Arabidopsis thaliana: one gene and its partners. The protein of the gene in region 1 interacts with the protein of each later gene in a pairwise test. Each region holds a gene or a part of one and is shown in the gene's direction. Other genes may lie near its edges. The genes, in order: NAC066, AT5G43540, LBD25 and SUP.

Region 1 (8,073 bases):
AACCTCTAATTTAATACTAATCATCACCTATTTCTCGTTTTATATCAAAATAAAATATTAGATCGAACGGAAACGGAGAACCTCCCCGTTTTTTCTGATTGGGTTTCGATTAGATTAAATTTTTGTATGTAAGATCCCCGTTTAGCAAAGCTCATCAAAGAAGGCAATGTCATTAGTTTTTTCTGTTCACAAAAGAAGGCAATGTCATAATCAGGACCACAAAGAAGAAATTCATAATGTAGTTTTTCGTGAGGCCCATTATGTAGTTCCATTCAGTGAAGTTTAGCCCATTATTAGTGTTGGCAATGGTTTGGGCCATATAGTTTGTTGATGTTAGGCTCAAATGAACTTCTTTTCTTTATAATTAAGAAACTTAAAATAAATAATTAAAAAAGTATCAGACAGAAACCAAGACCAAGATTGTACAGAACAATTTATACTAAACTCAGTTTAATTTAGGCTAGCAAAAAGTACATATGAACCAAAATCACATTTAAGTCCCTAACTAAACACCGATACACTATCTCACTTGTTTTTTGTTTTTTTTTACAAAAATAATAAATCAAACTGACAAAAACAATAAATGAATAAAATATCATTTGTATTTCTACAAATCTTGATTCTTTGTTAGTATTTGCAATTTCAGCATGTGGTATGTGAGAGACTGTGACAATTAGCTAGTGGTCTTTTTAAAAACAATATATTTTGCACTATGGTGGGCTCAAAGCTCTCTAATATAATTTAAATAATAGGAAGAAAAAAAGAAGAGTATGTAATATGGGCCATTGCCCATTAGGACCCTTGAAATTAATAATGACCCGCCAAGAAATTGTTGGTGTACGTAATTGAGTGCACCGAAAGGTACTACTGTTTTTTTTCCTTCGTATTCCAGAATCTTTCTTTTTTGAACTCCGTATAATATAAAAAGACAAAATGTTATATTGTTGTAGGACATGGATCCACACAAGTTATGTGACATTATATTAATCAATTCGAGTAAAAACAACATGCAATTATATACTCTGTTGATCTGATAAGATGTACTCTGTTTGGTCCATAGTTTCACACGTTCCATTTATAAATTTATAGAATTAGTTTTCGTGGAGGTTTTCTAACAATTTGGTAAAATGGTTAAATTCATTAATCATCCATAATAATTTTACAAAGATTAAAGTCTTTTTGTCTCTGTCGGCCTTTTCACCTTTTGACCTCACGTGAACATTATTACCCCTATCACTTACCTTTCTAAATGGAAAATAGGTTAAGGAAAACCATTTATCTTACTTTTTGTAATTTGTTTAGATAAGGTTTTATTTTATTTATTAATCTGCCAATTATTCTACAGAAATTAGTTCATTTTTTATTTTACCTTCAAATGTTTTCTACTTGTTGTCAATTGTTCTACAAACAGACCATTGCCAATTACTCTCAATTCTCAAATAACCAAAAATAATAATCATTTATCTTTCAAAGACTAAAATAATAGTAATGATGATAATATCGCAAGCACAATATCTTCGGTCCTTTTGTTTACAAGAAAAGTGGTGGACCATTCGCAATTTTCATTTTTTCTTTACGTCGTAAAGATATATACTTCATCTGCTCAAAGAAAACGTTTGTCTTAAACCCTTCTCCGTCTTGGGGTTTTCTTTGGATTCCATACATTACATATACACAAAATAATCAGTTATTATTTCTAACTTATGTAGCAAAAATGGGTAACTGCGTATTCAAAGGCAATGGTGGTTCAAGAAAATTATACGATAAAGATGATTCGTTGATAAAAGTGGTGACTCCAAACGGTGGCGTGATGGAGCTTCATCCTCCCATCTTCGCCGAATTCATCACCAACGAATTTCCCGGCCATGTCATCCACGACTCTTTAAGCCTCCGCCACTCATCTCCACCGCTTCTCCACGGCGAAGAACTCTTTCCCGGTAACATCTACTACCTCCTTCCTCTTTCTTCTTCCGCAGCCGCGACCGCTCAACTGGATTCCTCCGACCAACTATCAACGCCGTACAGAATGTCTTTCGGGAAGACGCCGATAATGGCGGCTTTGAGTGGCGGTGGTTGTGGAGTGTGGAAGGTGAGGCTTGTGATAAGTCCGGAGCAGTTGGCGGAAATTCTTGCGGAGGATGTGGAAACGGAAGCGTTGGTGGAAAGTGTGAGGACGGTGGCGAAGTGTGGCGGTTACGGCTGCGGCGGAGGAGTTCATTCGAGAGCGAATTCAGACCAGCTAAGCGTTACGAGTAGCTTTAAAGGGAAATTGTGGTAAAATTTCGAATTATGAATAAACTACGTTTATGTTTTAATCTGTTTCACGATTTAAGCATTTAAATTAGTATGTTGATTTCCGTATTCATTGAAGACTTGGAACGATTATATAAGTTTATCAACGTAGATATATTTGAAATATCATTGTTATCTCTCATGAAACAATTAATTTATGAAGTCGTAGACTCGTAGTTAGAGATTATTTAATCTTCCCTATTCAATGCCAAAAGTCTAGAAGAGCAAAACAAAAGGGAGAAACTCTTTTATTTCAGGCCCAATGACACAAAGCTGGCCAGAAACAGTTTAAGATTAGGCTAAAGTTATAAGTCCGACAAGCACGAGTGCTAATATATATAGTTATATGACGTCTCACCATTAAGGGTTTAATAAATTTTGAAACACCTCAAATTAAGATTGCTTCCCATGCAAACTTCCTTCATCTTCTAGAAAAATTACGATTTGTAATACTTCAATTATATCATTTTAGTTTTTTGTCACTAATTATCATCAATTTATCATAGCTCCGTGCCGCAACAACGTTCGTTTTAATCAGATTATATATTACTCTGCTATAAACTCAGAACCATGTTAGAAAAATGAAAAAGACATTTCAGAATATTCATTAACTCAAAATTTTAATCTCATGATTTAATTTTTTATTAACAATGTTATCCTATAGCACATGGCAAATTTGAACGGCCCTTGCGTATTAATCTATTATAATCTCAAAACCATGTGTAAGAAAAAGGAAATTCAGAAAATAACCTTTTGTAAATAGGCCCCCACAAAATCTACAACATACGTAGATACCTCCTCGCTTACAGTTGTAAACAACTGTTCATCTAGATTCATGCCGTCATTCAAGTTTAAATTAATACAATAATTTAAAATTTTAATTTGGATGAATCGAATCCACCGTCGTTTCCTGAATACCAGATAGGTTAACTTTATGATTAGTTCGAGTGAACCACATGCACAATATTCGAATCTTAGACATTCGTTGCAATGTTAACTTCACATATATTTGATAAACGCTTCTTGAATCAGATCTTAATCTCTTTCTTTCTCTCCATCTTCTAAGGAGGTTGTGGATTATCATGTAGTATATCATTATCTTCGCATCACCTTCAACAAGAACAAGCTACGAGCTTTAAAGTCGTATTTAACACAATAATGTATAAAGTCTTTCTTCATCACATCACATACATTTTTTGTTGCCATCACCCTTCATTCACTTTTTTTGTTAACACTATTCGTTTCTATATAAAATAAAAATAAAATGAGGAATGTCTTGTCCATAGAGATTTTTAAGGTCGAGGGTCATCGGAGCGATGTGGGCTTGCTTCCTACATTATAGTTGATATGTGGATCCCGCGTGGACCATATTTTTACCCAATAGCTACGTGCATGGTCCCACCGCTCTCTCTCACGCACTATTCCGAAATTGCCATAAACAATTTCACCGGACAAAAAGAGCAAATAATTTCGATGTTTAATAAAGAGACCATTAGTATATTTGACCCAAAAAAAAATAAAAAAAAAAGAGAGACATTACTATAACTTTTATTAGATGAAATATTGCAACATTGTATTTATAACGGATCTAATTTACTGAATCATATTTTTTTTCTTTGTTAAAGAGATACTGAATCATGCAGAAAAATAGATAGATTTTTAAATACTAGGTGAACTCATGACGAATCAACCATTACGAGAGATTTCTGGATAAAAGCAAAAACAAAACAAAACTAACATGCTAATCTAGGCAATTAGTAGAGCGAAAAGTCGGCAAAACCAAAGGCCGAAGAAGCTTGATCGATATACTTTTTTTTTTTTGTTTTGGCTGGATATACTTGGTATGAACTAAGAATTAAGTAAAAACTCATAGGGAGTAATTTTTCGAGAAGTGCATTCACTATGAGTATAAAACAGACATTTTCAAATTATTAAAACAAGCTCTTAGAGGCTCATATGTTTAATTGTAAGTGGCGGCTCATGCGAACTTATAATGAAAACATCAAATATTCGGAAAAATAATACTCCACTGTTAAAAAGAAAACTTAACAAAGGAATTAAAAATATGAGAGCAAAAGAACACATGCATTTTCTCATGCATGTACTATTATTTATTTTTTTGCAGAGTTGATGTAAAAAATATACACATATATATAGACATACTTTGGTTAGTTATAAACTCGTTCTATTTTCTTCTCCTTTTTCTATCTTTAGCAATGAACATATCAGTAAACGGACAGTCACAAGTACCTCCTGGCTTTAGGTTTCACCCAACCGAGGAAGAGCTCTTGAAGTATTACCTCCGCAAGAAAATCTCTAACATCAAGATCGATCTCGATGTTATTCCTGACATTGATCTCAACAAGCTCGAGCCTTGGGATATTCAAGGTTCATCATTTATCTTTTATTCTTGATGAAACGTATTAATAGGGCTTGTATATATTAATTAAATTAGTTTTTTAATGCATGTGTTGAGTCAAGAACTAAAGCTCTGAATTCAGGAAATTTTGCAGAGTAATATATACTTTTTGTGATAATAAAATTTGCAGTAACAAAATTCAGTCAAAACTTAACACAACTCTTGTTTTTTCTATGTAGAGATGTGTAAGATTGGAACGACGCCGCAAAACGATTGGTACTTTTATAGCCATAAGGACAAGAAGTATCCCACCGGGACTAGAACCAACAGAGCCACCACGGTCGGATTTTGGAAAGCGACGGGACGTGACAAGACCATATATACCAATGGTGATAGAATCGGGATGCGAAAGACGCTTGTCTTCTACAAAGGTCGAGCCCCTCATGGTCAGAAATCCGATTGGATCATGCACGAATATAGACTCGACGAGAGTGTATTAATCTCCTCGTGTGGCGATCATGACGTCAACGTAGAAACGTGTGATGTCATAGGAAGTGACGAAGGATGGGTGGTGTGTCGTGTTTTCAAGAAAAATAACCTTTGCAAAAACATGATTAGTAGTAGCCCGGCGAGTTCGGTGAAAACGCCGTCGTTCAATGAGGAGACTATCGAGCAACTTCTCGAAGTTATGGGGCAATCTTGTAAAGGAGAGATAGTTTTAGACCCTTTCTTAAAACTCCCTAACCTCGAATGCCATAACAACACCACCATCACGAGTTATCAGTGGTTAATCGACGACCAAGTCAACAACTGCCACGTCAGCAAAGTTATGGATCCCAGCTTCATCACTAGCTGGGCCGCTTTGGATCGGCTCGTTGCCTCACAGTTAAATGGGCCCAACTCGTATTCAATACCAGCCGTTAATGAGACTTCACAATCACCGTATCATGGACTGAACCGGTCCGGTTGTAATACCGGTTTAACACCAGATTACTATATACCGGAGATTGATTTATGGAACGAGGCAGATTTCGCGAGAACGACATGCCACTTGTTGAACGGTAGTGGATAACGGAAATGGAAGAGAGGAAGTGACTAAGTGAGTGACATACCAAAACATTGTGTAGAAAGATATAATAATCATCATACCATATATATAGTTGTTGAAACTTTTACGGTATAAATGGTCAGATTGTGATAATTACAGTACGTAGTTATGTGATATCATTACAGAAAATAAAAGTTCTCTATATCTGTGTACATTTTATATCATGATTAACTTTATAGAAAAGAATTGGTTGCATAGTTGAATTTCTTTGGATCAAGAATATTAGTTTTTGTCTTTTTGAAACTTAATTGCCATTCGATGAACAAAAAGGCAATTACATTTTCTACTGTAAGAAATCATAGTCTGTCACATGCATCGCCGGGTGTTTTCTAATTACAATTATATGAAAAAAGGATTTTGACCAAAAGTTGATTATGATTTCAAGAGAGACAAAAGACCAAAATGATAATTAATTCGTCGACAAATTAACTTTAGGAACAGATGATTTCCATTACGTTAATTATTCAAAGTTTCTCATTTTACTCTCAATTAAACTGAAGTTTTATTTACTAGAAACTTGAGATATTTAGTTGGTAAATGCTTAGTTTGATGTTGAATAGTTTGCTTCATTCATCATTAGGAATAGATTAATTACCCAATTAATCACCCCAACAAACTTGGATTAAGATGCACCAAGTGCTTAATAATAGTAGCTAATTAACCTACCCATCAAAGCTAATCACACTCATTATTTTTCAATTATAGCATTTAATCAAACAGTATTCGTTCTTATTGTTGAATAATCTCTTTCAAGGTGCGGAATCTTACTTTTGAAGAAAAATGGAGGATTCAAATATTCTCATCTTTCTTTTTATCATGTGATAATATTAGTAACAGACTCCATAACTGTAACGTTTTGACCTTTCATTTTCCACTTTAGCTTTCTGAAATTAGATTCGATTTATTATAATGATGTATTGATATTGATCATGTTGTAAATACTAAACGCAACAATTACATGAAACTTGAATTCGAGGCATTAATTTTTCTCTTTTCTCTTTGACCTTAGCTGATGCAAAATGGAGGATTTCTCAAATATCCTCACTGTTATTTATTTTTTATTTTTTGGGTTAAACCTTAATAAAAAATATTGGAAATATCAAAAATGTGTGGGCTGTTACATGTGAGTTCTGCTTGGTATTAATTGTACCACAAGTATATTGGGCCAGGCCCATTTTATTAATAGGTCAATAACGACATCAAATGGACTGTGAGTGTAGGTCCACTCGATGTCTTAATTCGTGAATTTTAAATTTGTGAGACCTTGTTTTTTTCTCTTTGTTATTCCCTTATTAGGAATTGACAAATATAATATACGGTATAGGATTTTAAAGTACTAATTAATGTTCGGTTGTGGTACGGCTTGAATATGTAAATATACTTTGATTTTCGTATAATTTTCTCGCATCATCACGTCCTCTTCTCTCACGTAAACTGTTTGATGAAGTAAACAACACAATGGAAATTCCGACTTCACAAAAAGCCGTATGATTTAACACACGAAACATATAGTATATATTGCTAATTTTGTGCCCTTTATGGATTAGTTTCAAGTAATCTTTCACTGACTACTAATGTAAAAAAGAATTAAAAAAATAAACACAGGAATAAGAAAGGGCATATTATTTATAAAAAAGGTATGCTAATTATTGTTATAAGCATTATTTAACAAATTAATAAAGGCTTTCCACTAATAGCGACACACTCGACCGACAAATGAATCCAGGCCACTTATTACATGTGATTGATGACTGATGATCGTTTGGCTTGAGTGGATTCGTATTCGTACTCCTTTGCTTACGGGAATTTGGGGGAATCTCCAGAGTTCAAACAACTAATGAATGTGTATATCGTTTACTTTTTAACTTTTCTACTTTGATATAAAGAACACCATAGTATCTCTTTGTTACAGAGATATCACACATAAATAATAATCAAAATGATTCTTTTAAAATGGGGTAAAAACTACAGTACTCGCAAAAATTATATTAACATAGTTATGTATTTGTGTTGGAAGCCAATACACAAAAAAGAAAGTGAAAAAAAAAAAAAAAAACTTCTTGGACTTTCTTTAGTTTTCATGCCTAGTGGTTGGTTGACTGGTTTGTATTGAAAAGGGTAGTATAATCTTTGGAATTAACGCATTGAGTAAAGACTTGTTTTTTTTTTGGATTAGAACATTGAGTAAAGACATCGATTAGAAGAGACTTATTTTCATGCCTAGAGGTGCCCATTTTTGCCGACTTTTTCTTCCATTCCGTTATTCATATCTTTGGAAATATCGAGTACAATAACTTAATTTTCTTATTATCTC
Region 2 (7,496 bases), on another chromosome or scaffold:
AGATTCATGACATGCAGGATATGGCAAACAGTATTTTCCACAGGATTGATTGGTATAGGATTGTTCTTGATGAAGCTCACACGATCAAATCATGGAAAACTCAAGCTGCTAAAGCCACATTTGAGTTATCTTCACATTGCAGATGGTGTCTGACTGGGACTCCCTTACAAGTAAGATAGTAAAACCAACTCATGGATAGATATACTTTTTTGGCACTTACTGACTCCCTATCTCTTTAATGCAGAACAAGCTCGAAGATCTATACAGTCTTCTATGTTTCCTGCATGTTGAACCATGGTGCAATTGGGCTTGGTATGATCAGACTTCATCTAAAATCGTGCTATTCTTCGGTATATAATTCTTTTTTATTTGACTTTTACTCGTGTATTGTATATGTATATATAGGTGGAGTAAGTTGATACAGAAGCCTTATGAAAATGGTGATCCACGAGGACTGAAGCTGATCAAGGCGATTTTGAGGCCATTGATGCTGAGAAGAACAAAGGAAACAAGGGACAAAGAAGGAAGGTTAGTTTTTTTCTTTGTTTTAGTCCCCTTTTTCTCTTTTCTTTTGCTTGTCTTATGCTTAACTTTCCACTACCTTTTCTGCAAATTCTCAGTCTAATTCTTGAACTTCCTCCAACCGACGTCCAAGTCATTGAATGTGAACAATCTGAAGCAGAACGTGACTTCTATACAGCCTTGTTCAAGAGATCCAAAGTAAGTGTTATCAACTTATAGTTATAGGCTTCAAGCTCAATAAAGTCTGTTATAAGATTGATTATGATCTGTTGTAATGGTTCTTGATGCTTTGGTAAATGCATAACATTCTCCTTTATTTTGGAACAGGTCCAATTTGACCAGTTTGTGGCACAAGGAAAAGTTCTTCACAACTATGCAAACATCCTCGAGCTCCTCCTCCGTCTACGCCAATGTTGTAACCACCCTTTTCTAGTTATGAGGTACAAAGCAAAAAATCATTCAATAAACTCTTTTATTTCCATTGAAATGGATTCTTATACCTGGAAATAAATTGCAGCCGAGCAGATTCACAACAGTACGCTGACTTAGATAGCCTTGCAAGGAGGTTTCTTGATAACAACCCTGACTCTGTTTCCCAAAATGCTCCTTCTCGGGCATATATCGAAGAAGTTATCCAAGATTTACGCGATGGCAATAGCAAAGAATGTCCAATATGTCTGGAGTCTGCAGATGATCCCGTTCTCACACCTTGTGCTCACAGAATGTGCCGTGAATGTCTCCTTACTAGCTGGCGCTCTCCATCTTGTGGTCTATGCCCAATCTGCAGGACAATCCTGAAGAGAACCGAACTTATCTCATGCCCGACAGATAGTATATTCCGTGTTGATGTGGTAAAGAACTGGAAGGAGTCTTCAAAGGTTTCGGAGCTGCTCAAGTGCTTAGAGAAGATCAAGAAATCTGGTTCGGGCGAGAAGAGCATTGTCTTTAGCCAGTGGACTTCATTTTTGGATCTTTTGGAGATTCCATTGCGAAGAAGAGGATTTGAGTTTCTTAGATTCGATGGGAAGCTGGCTCAGAAGGGAAGAGAAAAGGTTTTGAAAGAGTTCAATGAAACCAAACAGAAAACGGTAAGTCATTGTCTAAATTTCTAACTAACTCTTGTCCAAATCGAACAGAGAGCTTAAGATCTTTATGCTTCTGCTTCTGTGATGTATTACAGATTCTGCTTATGTCTCTGAAAGCTGGAGGAGTCGGTCTGAATCTAACTGCAGCTTCAAGTGTCTTCTTAATGGTACCATCTCTCTTCAAGCTTTGTTTTTTTAAGTCTTCTTGATGATGATGAATTGATCATTTGGTTATGTTTCTTGAAATACGTAGGATCCATGGTGGAATCCAGCGGTGGAAGAGCAAGCGATCATGAGAATTCATCGAATAGGGCAGAAACGAACGGTATTCGTCAGAAGATTCATTGTCAAGGTAACACTATAAACTGCAACTTTCTCTGAGTTTCTAGCATCGTAAGCAAGATCTCGTAAGTAAGTAACATTGTGTTTGTTTTGGATGATTGTGTGCAGGATACAGTGGAGGAACGGATGCAGCAAGTTCAGGCAAGGAAGCAGAGGATGATTGCCGGAGCTTTGACAGATGAAGAAGTCCGGTCTGCAAGACTTGAGGAGCTTAAAATGTTGTTCCGATGAGAGACTTGGAGAAAGTCTTCTTTTTAATCGTCTTTTGAAGTTAGAGAGTCTTCTTTTTGTTTTTTTTCATGTAAATATTGGTACAAGTTATTTATCTTTCTCCCCTAATGAGTTATAAGTAATTTTGAACACTGATTGTCTCGATCCACATATTGTGTATATGAACAGTTGAACGTGGATTATGTAATTTTGAAACATCAGTTACGATCAGAAAAACAGACAAAAAAAAAGAAACCAGTTTGGAAAAAGCAGCTTCAGTGGTTTAGATCAGTGGGTCAAAGAAAGATGTGGCAACAAATCTGGTCAAGTTTTTCTCACCATTCCTCTGCTTCTGCAGATGAGTAACTACTAAACTAAGTGCCGTAACCTACAAGCAAGATTCTAATGATTTTGTCTTATATTGTTCCGTAACAAACTACGTGTAAAATACGGCACTGCCAAAGCTACATAATCAAATTTCAGAAGCCAGATTTTTCCTATGCAAATATTGTATGAGTATGATATAGCTACAATCTACATAAGCTACTTAACAAATATGTTAGGTTTTGTCGATTTTCGTCTATCCGATGAATCTAGTCATGAATCAAAAAGTACTAGTGTATACAAATATATTTGCAGGTTGCAACCAAATTATATAGAGAGACGAACATCCAGCCTGGAAACGTAATGTAAGAAAAAAGGAAAAAAAAAATCACTAAAGTAACAAAAAGTGCACCAGCCGGGAATTGAACCCGGGTCTGTACCGTGGCAGGGTACTATCATGCCACTAGACCACTGGTGCTTTTTGCGGAATGTTGTGGAACTAGGATTCTAAACTAATGATGGAAAGCAGACCAAACCCAAACAAACCGGATTAGGTGTACATGTAACGTAATCAATCAATGATGTGGCAGTAATTAAACGAATCAGTGTACTCGAGTTGCAATCAAATGACATCTTCATTTTTTCGAGCTGTTTAATCAAGAAAATACTATTTACGATCACCTAAGCTAATATTTATTTTTAGCCCATAAACTAAAGTTTAGTTTTGTACTCTATTATGTCTATGTTATCTTTATCTCTTTGATAAATTTTTGAAAGTTTATGACTTATGAATTATGATAATTCGTTTTCATCAAAATATTGTTTTTGTTTTAGTAAAAAATGATCGTTGTGATATTTTGTAGTAGAAAAAGTAAGCAGTCAATCGAGACCTAACTTTTAAAAACGTTTTGCGATAAAAGGTTAGATTATTACAAGACAAACACAAAAGGAATATTTTATAAATTAAAATATAATAACACGATTGATTTAAACCACTCCCTTGCCTTTTAATTGTCATCATTTCTTGTAATTTTGTGGACTAATTGAAGAGTTTAGTTGAAGTTGATTTGGATTTCAGTTAACTGGATTAATGTGAGGATTGGTTTTATCTGATTTATAATCAAATCTTTAATTTGTTATGTCTCTTTCGATATATATTTTGTTTTATGTTCGTTGCTTTGTGTTTATATACGAGTATTGTATTGTAAACAAAACTACTAGAGACGATAGTAAATATTGTTTTACTGATTAAAAAATCATAATCTTATAATTTATTCTACATGTGTATTTTTGTTGGAAACAAAACTGTAAAAGTTTTAGATAATTGTGAGATCATCACTACTCACAAAATAAATATATTTTTTCACTGATTTACTAGAGAACCAATTGAATAACATGGTCTAAACGTAATTTTTGAGGAGCAATACCTTCTAGTGGTATAAATTTATTTTGCCTCTTAGATTTAGCTATATAAACTTTCTATTATTAGCAAGTTAATAATTAATAATAGGCTACATTTATAATCTAGATATAAATAATACATGAGAATAAATAAATAAATAAATCCTTCAAATACGGTGATAGTTATAAGAAAAAATTGGTACATAAATATACGAAGAAAGAAAAAGCCAAATCATGTCTTCCAAACATATAAACACACATCAAGAAAAGTATTATTAGTCTTATATATAAATTTTGTTTCCTCTATCATATAAACCATCCTTATATGCACTCAACACATTTGACAACTCTTTCATCTTTCATCTTCCCTTAAAGTCCTATATTTCGGGTATCAATATTTCTTCAAAATATATATCCCTCGATCGATCGAGGCAACACACACATATATATATATATATATGGAGTGTGAGAGATCATCGTCGTCCACGTCATCAGAAACCGGAGCAGTCAGGCACCGTCGTACGTCGTCGTCGTCAGTCTCCACCGTGACGAGACGAATGTACGAGTGCACTTTCTGCAAAAGAGGTTTCACAAACGCACAAGCTTTAGGTGGTCATATGAACATCCATCGACGTGACCGTCTCAACAAGGCCAAGGTGCAAAACGATGCTGACGTGGCACTCTCGCAAACTCATAGATGTTTCCACGTGGCGTCTGACCTTGGAGGCTACGAGCAAGTAGACTCCGTCGTGTTGAGGACGACGACCTCGAACTACATCCAACACTTACGAATCGGCTCGATGGCTACAAGGAGAGAAAACGTCGTCGTTGAAGGAAATGAAATCGATTTGGAGCTGCGTCTTGGCTTATGATCATCAACTTCTTACCCTCTATAGATGTATAATAATACGTTTTTTTGGTGTATATTATATGGTTTTCGAGGTTGATATATGTAATCTAGGAAAGCGTATATGAGACTATAATATGTCAAGGTAAGATATTTTTGGTGGGTATTTATTTATGCATGTTTTGTGATCTATCTATGAGATATATATAAATCTTTTATCTTATATCATATTATTTTCATTATAGTTTTTTTCCATAACATAGTGAAATCTGTCCCATAATTAATTAATTGTCCAGATCTTCGCATTCTATATATAAAAAAATTTGGCAAATAGAAAATCTGTCCCCTGTAAACGGATTAATATGCTGCACCCGTGGTTCTAGGATTGCGGTTTTTAATCCCACCACTGGCGGTTTGGTGGTATTGCCCCATGTTAAAGCCAACGGAAGAGACATCTACACACGTCTCGGATACGATCCTGTCGATGATCAATACAAAATTTTGTGTGTGATGATGTTCCTTAAGTGTGACGACGGCCATAGACAATACGTTATAGAACAAGAGCATCTGGTTTTATCACTAACATCACACTCATCGTCGTGGAGAAAGATCGAGATCTCGGGAGATGCTTACTCCTACTTAGAAGGTGGGATTTGCATCAATAGTGCTATATACTATGGTGTTGGACATACAAAGATAGCTAGATTTAATATTAGATCCGAGAAGATAATGTTTATTCAAGCACCAGAGGATTATAATGCAATCTCATGTTATTCAACCCTTACAAATTACAAAGGAAAATTAGCATGTGTAAGCTATGACTCCTATTGTGAATCTAAGTTGCGTGTATGGATTCTACACGATGTTGAGAAAGAAGAATAGTCAAGCATCATGACTTGTGTTGTGCCTTGTGACAAGGAGCTATCTTTGTGCAGTGGAGAGAGTCATAACAACGAGGTTGTAGTGGTATCTAGATGCTTAAAGTCATCTAAGCACTTTTTTGTTTACTATTTCGATATGGTCAGAGAGAGTATCATCAGAAGAATTGAGGTTGAGATTGATGGAATCGCCGATTATGAGTTTAGACATATCAATGGAATTGGTAAACATGCTCCTAGGATTTTGTGTTTCCCTGGTCACATTGAGAATCTTATGTACTTGTAAGTTCTAAGTTCTACTCTACCATAAGTTCATTAGCTTCTATTTTCATTTTTAGCCGTTTCAAATCGTTTTTTGTAGTTTGGTTACTTGTTCATGGACTCCTTTTAGCCGTTTGTTTTCTCGAACGCCACAACTACGTCTACCATTAGTCATGGACTCATGGTGATCACCTAATGTAAATGAAGCACGAGTTTACCAAATTACAATGACTGTAAATTAATATTTTCATTCAGTTTGAATGGTCAACGCAAATACGGCATTTCTTTAGATGGGCTTATAACGATAATGGGTTACGAACGGCTTATAGCCCATTCAAAGTTCTTATCTTTCAATTTCAAGTAATTTGCTTTCAAGCCCTTCGAATCTACCAAATTCCAATGACTGTAAATTATTTTTTTTTCCCCTCAAAATACATATTTACAAATATTAATTTACTTATGTATACAGACATTAAAAGGCACTAAAATAAGCTAATTATCATGATATAAAAGTAACTCAAGAGGAAAAGTAACTAAGCTTACATGTAATTCATAATTAGGTGACATCAAATTTACTATTTTTTAATTTTCTGCTGAATTTTTTTATTTATTAAATATACTTATTAATATCGAGATGTCTAATAAATATGAGAGAGTGTTTAAAAAAGAGTTTAGACATCGACATGAGACAAACAAAAAATGAAAAATAGTGGTACAAAATACAGATATATAACTTGAAAAAATAAATATAATTTATCAACACAAATACAAGTCCTAATCTGTTATTTATAAATTAATAATCTCAAAATATTACTTTGATATAAAATCAGTGTTCGTGTAATCTATCATTTATGCGATTTTTTAAAGAGATAACAATTTTTTTTTCTTTAGTGAAACATTAATATACCGTTTATTTAGTATGTTAAGTACTTTAATAAAACTCTTTAACAAAACAAAACAAAGTTAAGTATTTTTTAATATATAAGATATTTCTCTGCATGATCCAGGTGGAATTTTTTTAAAAGTTAACAATAGTTTTTTTTTTATAGTAAAACATGAATTTTGTTTGATTATTCCATTAGATAACAACTATTTTTCTTCTTGACAAAAAAGACAAATTTTTTTTAAGTAAAACGTTAATATCTCGTTTGTTTTATTCCGTTAAATAATTGAAATATATAAAATATTTTCCCGCATGATTCACGTGGATTTTTTTAAAAGGTAACATTTTGTTTTCTTAAGTAAACATGAATTTCGTTTGGTTATTCCGTTAGATGCTTTTAATGTATACATAATAATTATCCGCTTGATTTATGTAATTTTTTTTAAATGTAACAATTGTTTTCTCTTAAGTAAAATATGTATATCTCGTAGATTTATTCCGTTAGATAATTTTGATATATAAAATATTTTCCGCAAAATTTACATAGAATATTAAGAAAAGATCACAAAAAACAGAAATTTTGTTTGTTTATTCCGTTATATACTTAATATGTAAAATATTTTCCTCTTGATATACATATTTCAAAACGCTAATATCTCGTTTGGTTATTCTGTTAAATACTTTAATATATAAAATAATTTTTCTCGGATATATTTTTAAATATACATAAAATTTCTCTTTTA
Region 3 (8,852 bases), about 13 Mb from region 1:
GGGTAATGCCTCCTTCACAATCTTCACTTCAATCACACCATTGATTTGCTTTTACAACATTTTTCACCTGCTCACTCACTGTCTAAATCTTGCTCTGCAGACGATGATTAGTCCTGATGGTGAATATGTTTTGAGCGGTTCAAGCGATGGAAACGCTTACATATGGCAGGTTTGGATTCTGTTTCTTAGTTTAACAATTCTCTTATAAACGAAAGATTCGAGAGTTATATGTAAATGCTCAAAGCACCATTGTACTTTCAGGTCAATAAACCTCAAGTAGATCCTATAATCTTGAAAGGCCATGACTTTGAAGTTACTGCAGTAGATTGGTAACTCTACTTAACCAACTCTTTCTTCACTGCATTCAACTAGCAGACATGTCGATTCGATGATACATAACTAAACTGTTTCCAAATCTATTGTTCAGGTCTCCATCAGAGATTGGGAAAGTTGCAACAGCTTCAGATGATTTCACGGTAACAAAACATTTCATATATGTTGACACAAGCAAAAGGTTAATGAATTGTACTGATTCCATGGCTCTTCATAATTAGGTACGACTATGGAACATAGAGAACAACATATGTACAAACGCAAACGCAACAGCGTCTGTGTCCAGAGTTAAACGCAGAGTAACCGCATTGTCAAACACTGAAGCCAAAGAAAGACTTGAGATGAACAGAGAAACTGAGAGTCCCCAAAAGCATTCATCATTATCATCAGATGATGATTATAATAATGATCAGTCAATGCCTATCATTAGAACTCCAGAGTCTCAGAAGAAGAAAACATCATCATCATCATCATTGTCATCATTATCATCAGAAGAAGATATAATATGCGAGAGAACACCAGAAACCACATTCAACAGTCCATCCTCTGTACTAAACCCTCCTTCCTCAGTCAAAAGGCGAACCATTAGAGATTATTTTCTCGTCACTCCCTAAACACTAATCTCTTTGCCAATTCTTGTTCAAAGGTTATTGTATAGAAATTGTAAGGTTTATTAGATTCGGGTTGATATCTGATAGTTTTGTAGGAAGTAAATCAGAAACTATTAAAAGCAAATGGCAATATGACAAAACTAATACCAATCTTTCCAATTTGATATATTTCATTTAACCGTAACGAAGCAGGGATGTTTCATGTACCATGTCATTCTTTATGTGAACGTAATTTATGATATGTCGTTCTAACAAAAGGTAAATTCTAAATCCGAAATACTTTAATCTAACATCCATATAATAAATTAGACCGTTTACATACAAAACATGTTAAAGGAAAATATTACATAGGTCATAACAATGAAGTATAAAGGTCATCCAAACATGTCAGAAAATTTACACAAATAATTTATTTGTTCCATTGCTATTTTCTTAATTGCTCTTCTAAATTTTATCATTGGTTGCAAATACTATGATCTTAAAAAACATGAAATAATTAGTTGAATTATTAGCAAAATAAAATAAAATATAGTTGACACTTGACAATAAGAGTGGACATCACTAAAACTAATCGTATATATTGGGTTCGATGTATATGTATAATGTAATAAGAAAATAGGTGTTTAACAAAAATAAAGTAAGAAAGGGTGTGTGTGTTTTTTTGGTGAAATGAAAGGAGGTGTGTAGCCAAAAACAAAAGAAGAGAAGAGGTGCATTATTTCTAAATAAATTTTGATCAAATAATTGTGCTTATGTAATGATTGTTGAGGACATATCACACTTGACTTGCAATCATTCCGTCGACATTTTTCTGTATTATACATTTCGTCAACAACCAATCCACAAAACCCCAACCTATGATAACTAAATCACAAAAGTACATTTGGTTTTATGGGTTGATACAAACTTGAGATCAAGCTAGGTATAAATTAATCTCAAAAGTAATCGCAATTAATAGGATTCATTCGTTAGTTAATCGATCATATCCTGTATAAATTTTGTTGTAACAACCATGCAATTTTCTCTAGGATTTAAGCTATTGTCAAATTTCCTTTCAAAATAATTATCGAAAATTTTTAGTTCGAAAAATTTAACGTATAACATCACTTTTAATTTTCATTATTCGTATACGCTATACTTACATTTAAACCATTTATTTATTTATTTATAAAGTTTATATATGTATATAGAGAACTTACCAGGTTTTGTTATCCCAATTGTCCAATTGATAATTAAAGTATACCGACTTCTAGTTATAGGACTTCTAGGTGCATGCATGATACATACATGATGCATTATGCATATACATGAATTCTTCTAAAATGGATACATAATTAATTAGCACACACACTATCTTGGCTTCTTCGTTTCTTGGACGTCTTGGCTTTTTTTGGTCGACCCACATTAGCTTATTTTATATACACGATAAGAGACATACATTTTCATTCGCCAGGCCTGATCTTATATATTTATGTATAGCCGTATAGGGATATTTGTATGCATGCGTATTCAAGTGCTTCTTCTTTTCCGATCTGAATTGGTCCTTCTCTTTTCATATTTTCTTCACTTTTTCTTTCAATTTTCTATTATTTTTATACTTTCTTTGTACACATACTATATGAAGCATATCTGTATACACTGAAATCTAATCAGGAAATACGTAAAGTATCGTTACAAGAAATACGTAAAATAATGCTTGCCAATGATTGATTATCTTATCTAATCATTGGTATAATCTATATACGCACTTGCTACCAAATATTGCACTTATATGGAATATGAAGCATATATATGTTTATGGAAACAATAATGCCTTGGTATCATCATCACTTATATATATCATTTTAATTTTGTAAGTGCACTTGGATTAGAAAGGATATATAATTATATATCAACTACTTTGTTTGGTATATCTTTTAGGTCTTAATTTCGTTGGATGATTAAAGTTGTAGCTGACCAATACTATGCTAAGTCGCTAAATATTTTAATTATAGGAAATATAAGATCTATAATACAACCACAAGAGTTATCCAACAAACAACAACCTTTTTTGTGAATGGTATCTATATTCGTTGAAAATGACGGTATAATTTTAAATAGAAATTGATTACAGTTTTTTCTTTTCTTTGTTATGCACTATAGAAACTTTTTTTTTTTTTTGGATTCAAGCATGTGGCTCAACCATCAGGGTATGTCAAATTTTTTGAATGAACACATCAACTAATTAAAAGAACGTAAAAGTTAATAACTATTTTTCAGAAATGTAAACAGTAAAATCAAGACGTTAACAGTTAAATTCAATCAAGCAAAATGACAGTACACATGTCGGATTTGCTCAGATCCTCAATAGTTCTGATGTTCTTGTAAGTTTGTATCCCAAAACTTTCTGAAATTTAGTTTAAACAATATATTTAAGTGGTCCAAAGACTTCACAAACATTTTTTTTTTACGGAATAATAAAACGTGGAAAGGTCAAAGGTAAATAAATAATACTAATAGCTTACTAATTAAGGTTTATCATTAGTTTTAAATAAATAATACTAATAGCTTACTAATTAAGGTTTATCATTAGTTTCTTTATAAAATGGTTCGGACTCCTGAGGGTATATGGCTGTACCTTAATTTAAATACATGAAAGTATTGGTTTACTATCATTTGATTTTCTTTCATTGTTAAATTATCTCATATATTCTTAAGTTACATAATAAAAGAGTATTTTTTCATGACAAATTATCGCTTTTATATTTTACATACTTACTGAACCGTATCATATCACATATATAAACAATATTATATACTAATGGCTCGTTTAATTTTTTTCTTTTTAATAAATTAGTTGACAAAAATTATAAATTAGTTTTTTAAAATTTAATAGAAAATACGTTATGCTGTCAAAATTAAAAATAAGATAGAAAATATGTTGTATATTTAGTTATTTACTAAAAGCAATTGAATGGAGTAAAATTTGCCACGGTCAGAGTTATTCTTTCTTAAGTTCACTATTTTAGGTCCTCAATTAATTGAGGCCAATTTGTCTTTTTGTAATCTCATTATATTCATCTTCTTTCTCTTTCTCATCGCACCAAAAATGCCTTTTGCCCCTCTCTCTCTATATCCAACCCATGTCTCCTCTTTATCTCTCTAACTTTCCCCTTAGAGAGATTCCTCTTTCTCTCAAACTAGGGTTTCCTCTCTGAAAACAACAAAAATATCCCAATAATTGCAAAATCTACTTGAAGATTTTTCATTCTCCTTTCTTATAATTAATGCCCAAGAGAGAAACAAAGAAGATCAAACCTTCTCAAGAAGTTATCAAGGAAGGACCTTTTCTTGTTGCGATCCATTTAAAGGTAAGACCAAGAGTTTTTCATTCTGTACAGCCAATTCACTCACACTTGCATAATATATATACTTTCTATATATGTTGATTGATTATATAAATTTAGAGAGTTTAGATCATGAAAATTTGATCACTGGTCTTGAACTACCAAGTTATAATTTGGACGACCTTTTTTCTTTACAAAAGAAAGAAGAAGTTACAATTGAAAGTGAAATCAGGAATTCGGGACTTCTAATATACAGTGAAAGTATCCTATATAGCAGGTAATAAAACTCGGTCATAAATTCAAGATTCAAACTAATATGTAGTACATGTGGGGAACTCAGAGTCAGAGAGACAGAGAGTGCTTTGATGAGAACATGTTGTTTGTTTGTTTAGAACTAATACTAGCTCTAAAACGTAAAACCTGTGTGAGTAATTCGAATTTCCGACACCCATTTTCTTCATATTACTATGAATATCATATGGACGTTTACATTTTAATGTGTAATGTTACACAAGTTTATATAATTTCCCATAATCGTCTTGTGTGTTAGATTCACCAATAACTTTTTAGTATGGATTATTCTCAATTTCCCAAGATTTTATAATTATGTAAAATTAATTCATTAGACAAGGATGTATATATTTGTTTGAGATATATTTGAAATATAAATTTAGGTGGTATAACATCTTTTTGACGCAGAAAGAACACTATGAATAATGAATTTTAAGGATAATAAGATAGGAACATGCATCATACGTCTTCTAAGTTATATTGATGATGAGACTATTATTTCTAGTTACCATTTTACGTAGAATATAATGAATTTTGAGGATTAAAAGACTAAGAACATCATACGTCTTGTAAGTTATATTGTATTGATGATGATACCATTTTATTGCTACTTTGCTAGTTACCAAATTCAAAATGGAAATAAAACATTTGAAACTGTATCAATTTTTAAAAAGTGTACGTAGACATATTGTTGATAAGATATTGATAATTGATGTATATAGAAGAAGAAGAGACTCCAGAGAATTACAATATCGATCGATATGGATCAAAATTCATATCAATCTTATACTGTAGTTTCGAGAATTACTAATAAGATACTATGATGTGATTAAATCGTTTTTGCCATTTTTTTGCAACTGAAAAATCAGGGGATATATATGTCGAACTACACAAACTCACCGTGTGCAGCATGCAAATTCCTCCGGCGTAAATGCACGTCAGACTGCGTATTCGCACCCTATTTTCCGCCGGAGGAACCTACAAAGTTTGCGAACGTCCACCGGATATTCGGGGCAAGCAATGTGAGCAAGATCCTCCACGAAGTGGCTCCCCATCAGCGGGAAGATGCGGTCAACTCGCTGGCTTACGAGGCGGAAGCACGACTTAAAGATCCAGTGTATGGCTGCGTTGGAGCGATCTCGGTGCTCCAAAGACAGGTCTTGAGGTTGCAAAGGGAACTCGAGGAGACAAATGCTGATCTCATGAGGTACGCTGGTTGTCTCGGTGGTGAAACGACGTCGGCTTATGGTGGTCGGAGGGGTTGACTGGTCAACGAGAGTTGATTAGTCATCATCACTCTTTGAGAAAATTAGCGGCGGAGAAGTATAAAGAGAGAGAGGATGGTTGATGTGATGGTAAGTGTTATTAGTCGTATGTATATATGTGTAAATATGGGGACATGCATGCATGTATATTTATGTTTATTTTCATGTATATACTTATGCGTATGTGTAATTTAACTTGTAATTTTTTTTTCATGGGAGAGGTCAAGGAATATTTTTGATGATGTTGAATAACTAGATCTTGCTCATGCTCATATCTCCATAACTCTCTTTAACTTGATCTAGCTCCACTGATTTACATGTGGCCCATTGGTCATTATTCACAAGTTTTTTAGTTTCTGCTAAAAGATTTATGTTCTAAATTATGTATGTACACATATTTCATTGATTAATGACAGATTTTCTAGCATTTTATAAAGTTGCATTCAACGAATTGTGATTGCAATATTACTATTGTATTATGATATTCAAAAGAATAAAATTTCATGTCGACGGTTTTGTATAGACTCATAGGAATGTAGGCTAATAATTGGTTGTTTGATTACACACACTAGTCACTGGTCAGAAACACAAAGTTGCTAATATTTTAAGTTAATTGAGTGATTTTATATATTTGTCGACTTGAAAAAAGTTTAAATAAATTAATCAATTTAGAAACACCAAAATTTTGTAGCTTTAATTTAGGCACATGTCTTCATAGGGAATCTCTTTTTAAAGTCGGTCCTTTTATAATTTTATGTCATTTGGGGCGAACTAACAACCACATATATTTACATACAAATCAACTAATCTTGTCAAAAGAAGAAAATAACAAATGGAACTTTTCTTTTTGATGAGTAAGATTGCTTATAGTTTTTTAAGATTGAGTATGATGATACCCTAATAATAAGTTAAACCAAAAGCTCAATTATTCATGTATCTTAAGATACGGTATAGTTTCGGGTAGGGCTAAGCACGATTATTTGTTACTCGATCCTGTATCCATTATTTGCCTCATATCTGTTTTGAAAAACAAGTCTATATCCTTGTCGATACAAGTAATAATTAATATAATTTATATACTTTTAAATACAAGTCAAGTAGCAAATAACTAAACAAAACTCATATATAACCCGATTGTTTTATCCTAATCATTTTATTGTTAATAATAAAAATTAGTGATGCCAAAACCAGTAACACTATTACTTTTGTACTAGTACTACTTTTTACCACTTATTTTTTGAAATTATTTCGTTATTTTTACTGTTATGTCGTTTTTTTTTGTACCACTCTATTTATTGGTTACAAAATTGCCCAAAGAAATACCAAATGACGCATCATATTTATGCTGTAATACTCTTTACATCAATTGTGCTTGGAACAAATAGCGACAATTTTAAGAGAATCAATTGAGTTAGTTAACAAGCATCTTTTGTCCAAAAAAAAAAAAAGTTAACGAGCATCTAGTCGAATGTGTATATATTGTTCACATGTTGATATATTGAATGCCAATTATGCAGGACAAATAGTCATACGTAGAGTTCTTTGACTTCCATGCGTGGATTAACAAATTACATGTCGACGAGACAGGGGGATTCAAGATTTGTGTACCAAACAAACATGAGTCAGTTTCAGAAACAGTAACTAAAGGTACATTCATTTGTTTAACTCTTTTTAAACAACATTATATTTTTTTATTATCACACTATCACTATCTACTGCAGAAATATGATTGTTTTGCCATGTGATAAATCATATCAAATTGTACTCATTTAAAGACTTTTCCTCAATTATTCCTTCCATCACTTTCATTCTCCCTAAAATCTCTCATAATTTTTCTTTTCTCATCGATGATATCTTTTTTTATACAATACCTAAATAACTAATCATGAAATAAAGTGTAGTAGTTTGTGCTAATTGATGGTATTGTGTCACTATAAATGTTGATTTCAAAGAAAACTAAACAATGATAACAAATCCTTATATTTTCAACAAAAATTCTTATCTTATGCAATTGAGAAAGAAAAATCTATAGTTTATTTTTTCTCACACATTATTCTTACAATTAAACTTTTGTATATTCAAGAAGTGGACTTGTGACCATATAATAATCAAGAGAAACTATTGTACTAGTGTCCCCATGTATAGAAAACCTACTGTTTTAGTACTTGCTATTTGAGCAAATAGACATAACTTTTTACAGGTTAAATCCAAGTTTGAAATCAATCTCATCGTTAAAAAGGTGAAGATCACACAAAGAAAACGTCAAATGGATCATACTGGGCCCATTTTGCAGACCAAGAGAAAGTGAGAGAGAGTTGTCCTCTCGTTATCAAGTAACAGTAGACCACCACTAAACCGCCCAATAGCTTATAATCAAAATAGAAAGGTCTAATAACAGAAACAAATGAAAAAGCCTTGTTCCATGGACTGCCTACCCGAATTGATTGATTCGACTAGTTTTTCTTCTTCTTTGATTAAGACCTCCGTAAGAAAAATGGTACTACTAAAGCCACTCGCTACCAAAACTAAACCATTCCAGACTGTAACTGGACCAATATTTCTAAACTGTAACCAGACTCTAAACATATAAACTAATTAAGAACTATAACCATTAACCGTAAAAATAAATTTACTACAGTAAAAAATTATACTAATTTCAGCTATGATGGAATTTCAGCTCTTAAGAGTTGTGGAAATCAAGTAAAATTAAAATCATAATAATATTCTTCATCCTTATTTTTGTTTCACATGCATGCTGTCCAATCTGTTATTAGCATTTGAAAGCCTAAAATTCTATATACAGTACAATAAATCTAATTAATTTTCATTACTAATAAAATGCTTCATATATACTCTTGTATTTATAAATCATCCGTTATCGTTACTATACCTTTATACATCATCCTACATTCATACCTAAGCTAGCAAAGCAAACTACTAAAAGGGTCGTCAACGACAAGTTATTTGCTAGTTGGTGCATACTACACACGGCTACGGCAACATTAAGTAACACATTAAGAGGTGTT
Region 4 (8,032 bases), about 15 Mb from region 1:
TACCTTATACAGTTTATATTTTGAAAGAGAGATAGTATGTTTTAGGATATATTTAAAGAAAAAAAAATAACTCTTTAATTTAGCTCAAATTATTACCTGTCCGGTTCTTTTTTCTGTATTGGTTATCGAACCATATTGATACTTCTATTCGGTTCCACTTCGATCAGTATTTGTTGGTACGACCATTCTAATTTGTATAGTTCCATTTGACTTCTTTAGGTTGCAACCAAACCTTTAAAAAAAAGAATAGAAAAAAAAATATAAACAAAAAAAACAAGACTTGACATGAAATGTGACAGCCAATCACAAAGTTTTACCACGAAGCCAAATATATGTTGAAAATGATAAAAACAAAACCTTCTCAATTCAAATTCATGAAAGAGACTTTCACAATTTTGTAAGAAAATAAACAATAATGAGTCTTATAATAAAGTAAAAATAGTAGTTATTTGAGAAAAAAAATTAGTGATGATGTAAAACACGTAGGGAAGGGGCTCATGCAATAAACAATAAAGTGTTGAACTACTGCGAGTAAACTCTGCAACTTCGATCAACGAAGCTATTGAAAAATCTAGGCCCTTTATTCACAAATGGTAAATAAAAGTAACAAATTAAAATAAAAAGAGAGTGGCCACTAGACTTTTAGACCTTCTCTTTCAGCCGTTGGATGTGTCCTATCGATGATGAGAGATATCATCTTCTAATTTTGGCAGAATCTTTTGTCTAATTCCACTCTCTCTGTCCGAAAATTTCCCATCTTTTTCACTCCATTCACCAGGTAACAGATCATTTCAGGTTATTATAAATTTTGGATAAGTGAAAATTAATGATAGAGAACCGAAAAATATTGGAAATAAACGGGGAACTTTTTCTTTTGCTATACCTTTTTAAATTGGTGGTGTGACATTTCTTTTTAGTTGGACTTCGTAGAAACTAGAAAGAGTCATGCAATTCTAAATTTACTATGGATAGGCGATCATTACTAGCTATTAGGTTAAGAAATCCATTTTCTTTTAGCAAAAGATTAGTGACAACTCATTTACTATGTTTTAATATTGTAGTATAGTAAAAAAAAAATGTCTTTAAGTATATTAAATTTATTTTGCTTAAGACTTCCATTTTTATTTTTATTTTTTTCAGAAGACTCATAATAAATCGATTTTTGTTTGATGGTAAAATAGTTGATGTATTTATATCATTTGGTTTATTCCAGTGCCATTTTTTCATTCGTTTATCGAATTAGTTTTAATTAGTCGGCACATTGATAATCCGTAAAAGACAACGTCAATGATCCACCTGAACATCTTCATCGTCCTTAATTTGGAACCTACTATTATTAATTTAAATAGATTAACGTCGTACAATATATACTAATAACATCTACCACAACATTAAGTATGGTACAAAGATCACAACTAATATGTGTCAAACAGCCCAAAATCCGTCCCACTATATGTGGCATGTGTCATGCAAACAAGTTACACATGTTAATTACTTTGATATAGAACTTTGAGTTAAAGAGACATTTTTGCTGACGCGCAGAAGAACAATATTACATTTGCGTGGTTGTAAAATTATAAATTTAAGGATCTTGAAAAATACAAAAACAAAATGTATAAAGTAATTTAATTTCAAGTCAGAGAACCTTAAGAAATCCATTGGTTAATTCCGCAATACTTTGAGTCTAATCATTCCGTATGAGTATGTTGTATTAATTTATTCAGTAGATACTCTTCCTGACGTGAATAACTAATCAAGGCACTTCCGCCTGTGGCTCGTCGATCCACCGTGGTTGCCGTGAAGTTGGGGATTTCGGGTTCACCGGATCTAAGACTCCGGCCACCGTGCAATCGTCCATCAGAAGGGTCCGATCCTTCAATTCCGTCGATAGTTTTCTTTTTTCTATTGGGCTTTTGTAACTGGATCAGATACTTGTAATCTTCAACCCAAGCCCATTTGGAATGTTATCAATGATTTAAAAAAAAAAAAAAAAAAAAAAAAACTAATCAAGGCACTTTTCCTAGCAGGTCAGATTTTTTATGAATTATTTTGACGAAAAAAAAGGGTAAAATATATTATTTATTTTTTGTCTTAAGTAGCATATTTAGAAGATAAAACAAGACTTCTACGAATATTAAGCTCAGCTGATTTTTTTTTTTTTTTTTTTTGTCAATTGGTGAAGTGTAGTAACATGTAACAAAAGTTGGATTTCAACGAGAGGAGTGATTGAAAAGGGGCGAGATGGTTAGATAATTTCTTGTGTTTCGACAATTGTGAAATGTGTACATATTGGGTATATATATATAAAGCAGTTGAATGTGTAGTAAATGAGACTTTCCTCGTTGGTGAATGTTGAGCTTTGTAATTGCATTTGTACGGTTCCTCCAAACTATTTGCAGTTTGGCCTTTTAACAATCCTACTAGTAAATCTATTTTATCCAAAGAGTTCAAACATAAAATTCTTACATTCAATTTCACTAGATCAATCATATGTAAACCATGCATGAACCGTATTTTAAAATCTAATTTTATTTAAGGAATTTTCAAAACATATTTTTGTTTTTACGTATCTTCGCAAATTTATGCGATTTTAAATTTTAGAACACAGATGTTATTAAACTCAAGATCAGCTCGACTCGGGTTAATTATATCGCAAAACAAATCTCTTAAAATCAACAGGAGTTGCTTCCCAATTCATATAATCTGTCCCCTCAAATTTCCCTAGATCCTTCAATATTATATACCTCACAGATTCCTCTATATAGAACCATAAAATGGAAAATTTAGCAAGTTCAAACATTTAATTTTCATCCCATAGAATGTTCCAGATATATAATTAAACAACTCCAAATTAAACATAGATATGTGCCGACGATGAAATCAATGTCAAGTAAAGGGTCACAATTTGAGCAAACACAACACATGTTGAAAGGAATTGGTCCAGAACACATGGTGATATATTAACTATATAAAACAAAAGAAAGGGACAATGTATGAATCTATATAGTATTATATAAAACTTTGAAGGAAAGGCAAAATCTAAAGACCTAAGTTTAATAATAATGTGTGTCGTTATTTATGATTTGCTAACAAACAAATGTCAAGATATGGCTCACGAGGAAAGCTTTATTAATACATATAGATGATAAATTCTATATTAAATGTATTTAAGAAAAATGGGAGAAAGGAACATCCACTTTTCCATTTTTGGTATAAAACTTTTGATATAATATGTCCTTTTGCTCGCCGAGGTTTTCCTTATTTATACACTCCCATCTTTTACATATTCACCCATCACTCTTTCCTCTCTACCTTTTATAATAATAACATATATCTACTACTTTAAGAGAAAATTATGATTAAAAATAGTGTTTTCTCATGGTATCTACTGCTTGTGAAATGTTTTATTTGTTGGTCGCTAAATTTGTTGGTGTTACAAAAGTTTGATATTCTGTGATTTCATCATGTTTCGATTGCGATACAAAAACGATAACTTGGTTATTTATAAAATTTTCACAATGCTTGTTTTACATAACATGATTACAAGACAATTGACTTTCTTTTTTGTAAAGTGAAATCCTACACTCATTTCTACTTCTTTTTCCCCATCCCATTCTATTATTTCTTTTTCCTTTCAATAAAATCATATTTTATGTTGAGATATTTTTGATAGTGCGATTTTCTTTTTCATTTGTGACAAATTGTTTGAGGATTTTATCTATAAATTGTTTGACAAATTGTTCAGACTCTCAATATTAACTTCATTTCCTTCTTAATTACACATATGCTATCTTTACTCCATATATCTTTTAGGTCTCGTTAAAATTGTGAATATGTTTAATAGATAACACTATAAACACTATTTCATGATAGCATAAAATCACTGAATGGTATCTTAAGACAAAATTGGTTGTTGATTTTCACGAAACTTAAAGGTGTAACATCATTAAATGAAAGTAATAGATGTACTTAATTAACTTGTGTCATCTCCATAGATCAAATCATGGAAAAGCTCGCTTAATACATGTTTACCCCAACATAAATAAAGCTTTTTCTTTAAAGTTTCATTTTATTAAATCTAAGATGGGGATTTGATAATGCGTCCAAGAATCAGTCTCTTTCACAGTCTTAACACCAAAGAGCCCCAACCCTATCATCACACACACCTCTCTCTCATCTCTATATCTCTCTCTCTCTCTCTAAGAGACAGACAGACATAGATATATCTTAGATTTTTCCCAGGGGAAAAAAGTGAGTTCATCTTTTCAGATCTTACAAACACTTTGCTTTTATAAACTGATGTACCACAAATCATTACTAGTACTATCTTAATTATCTTTACAATTTTTTTATCTAGCATAGCCAAAAAGAAAGAGCTTGCACATATGGAGAGATCAAACAGCATAGAGTTGAGGAACAGCTTCTATGGCCGTGCAAGAACTTCACCATGGAGCTATGGAGATTATGATAATTGCCAACAGGATCATGATTATCTTCTAGGGTTTTCATGGCCACCAAGATCCTACACTTGCAGCTTCTGCAAAAGGGAATTCAGATCGGCTCAAGCACTTGGTGGCCACATGAATGTTCACAGAAGAGACAGAGCAAGACTCAGATTACAACAGTCTCCATCATCATCTTCAACACCTTCTCCTCCTTACCCTAACCCTAATTACTCTTACTCAACCATGGCAAACTCTCCTCCTCCTCATCATTCTCCTCTAACCCTATTTCCAACCCTTTCTCCTCCATCCTCACCAAGATATAGGGCAGGTTTGATCCGTTCCTTGAGCCCCAAGTCAAAACATACACCAGAAAACGCTTGTAAGACTAAGAAATCATCTCTTTTAGTGGAGGCTGGAGAGGCTACAAGGTTCACCAGTAAAGATGCTTGCAAGATCCTGAGGAATGATGAAATCATCAGCTTGGAGCTTGAGATTGGTTTGATTAACGAATCAGAGCAAGATCTGGATCTAGAACTCCGTTTGGGTTTCGCTTAATTAGATGGTAATAACTTTATCCATAAAGGATTCGAAGTTCACAATTCTAGAAGATATGATGCTTCTCTAAGGTTAATTAGTTTCATCCATATGAAATTCTCTAAGCTTGCTATTTAGTAGAACGTTATAGTTGATTATATGATTATAGTATAAGCTATAAGCTTGCGTTAGATGTTATATAATATGTATGCGCTTGTTACCGTTTTATGTATGACAATGGATACAATTTTGTCTCCTTAATTATTGTTTATCTCTTCGATCGTATATAAATTTCTACATATTTTAGTTCTTACGTTTCATGTAAATTGATATGTTAGACTTAGTTTACTTTTTGTTTTGTTTTTTGTTTTCTGAAGATTGATAATTTATTTTTATCTTTTGCGTGCAAATAAATAAGTAAATATATATATATATATATATATATATATTGGGGCAGCCTATATACAATTGCACAGTTTTCAATAATAACAACATAGTTAGATAGATATATTAGATCTTTTTTTTAATATAATATGTATGAAGAACTACAAAATAGCATGCTTTATAAAAGTAATGATTATTCTTTTAACCGAAAACATAGTTGATCTTTTGGAGAGGGATCGTTTGTTATACTTTTTTTAATCTACTTGTTCAATCCATATCTTTCATCTCTACTACGGTAGTGGAACTTGTAGGTCGCATCTAGATGAAACTAAATTTGCTAGCTACTTCAAATTGAATTCCTATACAAGGGCATATATAAGAAAAAAGTAAAACATATCAATGAGTTCTGCCTTGGAACGATTCACTAGTTTCAAAACTTAAAATTCGCACTTCATATAGTGCCTATATATGCTGATCATATATCGTCAAGCAAATTGGACACTGTCTTAATCTCCTTCGAACTAACACATCTAACCTACCTTTTTAGGTAACAATTAACAAACGGGCTAGTAAGATTCGAAATAGATAGTTTCGTGGAACATACTAAATAGAAATTTTCATTTTATTAGTAATTCTTCGTGTACTTAGGGTTTCTATCTTCTTATTTTTTCTGCTATAGAGATACTAATTTAATTTAATAGAATATCATTTATGAAAAAGAACATGTTATTTGATGGAGTATGAATCTTCACATGTATATATCATTTGCAACTATGTCTTTTTCTGATAAGGAGCTTTTGCAACTTTGTTAGTATCAGATATCACGTTTATATGTATATGAATTTTCGGTTGGCACACTAGAAATTAAATTTAATATTTAAGCATTTGAATATGCTTACCACAAATCAAGGCTTCTGTTGTTTGTGAATACGAAAAGAGGGCTTTCAGTTTCTTCAAACTCTTGACACTCATAGCATTTTTGGTTAGTTTTTGTCATTTTGACTTTTGTATGATAATTTATCAATTTATTTCAAATCTGAATGGGTTGAATAGAAACTGTGTTTGCGTGTGATCTTGACTAATTGTACAAAAATATAAATATTTTTGACTGAATCATTGCACTGAGGGTAACAAATCATTATTAGAAAACAATTCCCAAAGCATATTTCAGTTTCATGAGTGCAAAATCTGTAAACATGTCATAATTTACTCGATCGCCATATATTTCCTTAATCTTTTTCTTTTTCTTTTGGTTTGAAAAGGTCAACACGTACGGAACAAATCATACAAAACTATAGGAAGATATTAAAATCTCTTAAATCAGTAACACAGATACGCAACACTTGTGTATGTGACGACCATAGTTGGATTTGGACAAGAGGGTATATATGCTGGAAGTTTGGTATTCCCCAAAACCTGAGGGTTTGCATGTTCCCGACAATGTCTGGGTTTTGAATGGCATGATGAGCTTTCCTTTTATAGTAAGTTATGTTTTCGTCAGTTCTAAGCGTTACACATAACTAAACAGTACAAACTCCTCCACCAAATTATTACTTTCCTTGAAAAGCATTAAAGTTTTTCCTCAACACTTTTTCACATACTCAAACACCAGCCACTTCAAATGTCTACGCACCGTTATTATTAATTCTTAATTTCTTCATCTATTCTTTTTCTTCATCTATTTGATCATCTCTCTTTTTCATTGAATTTTCCGAAATATTTCTTCATTATTTACATATAATAAGTTAATAATTCATCTTAGTACAAAAAATTAACGCAGATTCAAATTTGAGTGGTCTGGCAACTGTAAAGATAGCAAACCAAAAAAAAAAAAAAAAAAAAGATAGCAAACCATTAGCACGACTTAAATCCATAATTTCTTTATTTTCTAAACCATTTAATGAAAACGCTTCAACAATTTCAACAGCTACAAAAGTTTACATTATAATTTCAGTTGTAAGAACACCGTTATAAAAGTATCTTATATAGAGACATATATTTTGAGTCATTGAAAAATATGTGAGACAAGGATAATAACAACAGATCATCAACAAAATTAATAACATTCAAATCCAAATATATGGAAAAAATTGTATCTCTAAAGCTATCCCGGCAGGACTTGGTATCTTTAGCCTCTTTACAAGCACATTAGCCACTACATATTAATATAATATATCCATCATCCATCTCTACGGACTCGACTATATCTAATAAAGCTCTATAGTCCGTACATAATGTCAAGTGATGTCAAGATCTTTTCACATAATGTATGCATGTGTGCATGCATGTCAGTAATTAAAGTCATGAATAATAATCGGAAGTTATATCATAGTGTGACATTGTACATTCAAGTAATGAAGTAAATATATAAATGAGCAGATATAAAAGAAGAGCCCAAAGGGGCACTAGGGCTGCAACGTGAGGCTCAGGCCATCACATTGAATGACTTTGATATGATGACGTCATAAGACAATGAAAACACATAGAAAATTGTAAAGACAAATAGGCAAAGGAGAAGCTCATCTTTGTTGTTATTTTTGTGAAAGTGGAGATAGACATGGGCACATATTGGTATTAATAATACCAGAACGTACGTAGTATTAAAAATAAAAGTGATACTTTCATATGAAGTATTAGATAACAAGTTGATGAACAAATTAAGTAACAAG

The links.
Region 2: the proteins of NAC066 (region 1) and AT5G43540 interact in a two-hybrid assay, tested with the Arabidopsis thaliana proteins (one large-scale study listed by BioGRID).
Region 3: the proteins of NAC066 (region 1) and LBD25 interact in a two-hybrid assay, tested with the Arabidopsis thaliana proteins (one large-scale study listed by BioGRID).
Region 4: the proteins of NAC066 (region 1) and SUP interact in a two-hybrid assay, tested with the Arabidopsis thaliana proteins (one large-scale study listed by BioGRID).

Annotation. Positions count from the first base shown.
Region 1 is NC_003074.8:22,926,843-22,934,915, reverse strand, and holds NAC066 (NAC domain protein 66), read left to right. Parts: upstream 1-4,459; 5' UTR 4,460-4,508; coding exon 4,509-4,680; intron 4,681-4,890; coding exon 4,891-5,723; 3' UTR 5,724-5,910; downstream 5,911-8,073. Other genes in the region: AT3G61920 (UvrABC system protein C), read left to right, coding at 1,715-2,278. UniProt on the Arabidopsis thaliana protein: Transcription activator of genes involved in biosynthesis of secondary walls. Together with NST1, required for the secondary cell wall thickening of the anther endocethium, which is necessary for anther dehiscence.
Region 2 is NC_003076.8:17,492,651-17,500,146, forward strand, and holds AT5G43540 (C2H2 and C2HC zinc fingers superfamily protein), read left to right. Parts: upstream 1-4,204; 5' UTR 4,205-4,342; coding exon 4,343-4,756; 3' UTR 4,757-5,044; downstream 5,045-7,496. Other genes in the region: AT5G43530 (Helicase protein with RING/U-box domain-containing protein), read left to right, coding at 18-170, 245-312, 406-528, 621-720, 850-962, 1,040-1,610, 1,703-1,774, 1,861-1,959 and 1 more; AT5G43550 (F-box associated ubiquitination effector family protein), read left to right, coding at 5,242-5,613.
Region 3 is NC_003074.8:10,234,521-10,243,372, forward strand, and holds LBD25 (LOB domain-containing protein 25), read left to right. Parts: upstream 1-3,993; 5' UTR 3,994-4,210; coding exon 4,211-4,294; intron 4,295-5,430; coding exon 5,431-5,826; 3' UTR 5,827-6,128; downstream 6,129-8,852. Other genes in the region: AT3G27640 (Transducin/WD40 repeat-like superfamily protein), read left to right, coding at 1-2, 101-169, 262-329, 428-476, 555-947.
Region 4 is NC_003074.8:8,238,119-8,246,150, forward strand, and holds SUP (C2H2 and C2HC zinc fingers superfamily protein), read left to right. Parts: upstream 1-4,137; 5' UTR 4,138-4,385; coding exon 4,386-5,000; 3' UTR 5,001-5,254; downstream 5,255-8,032.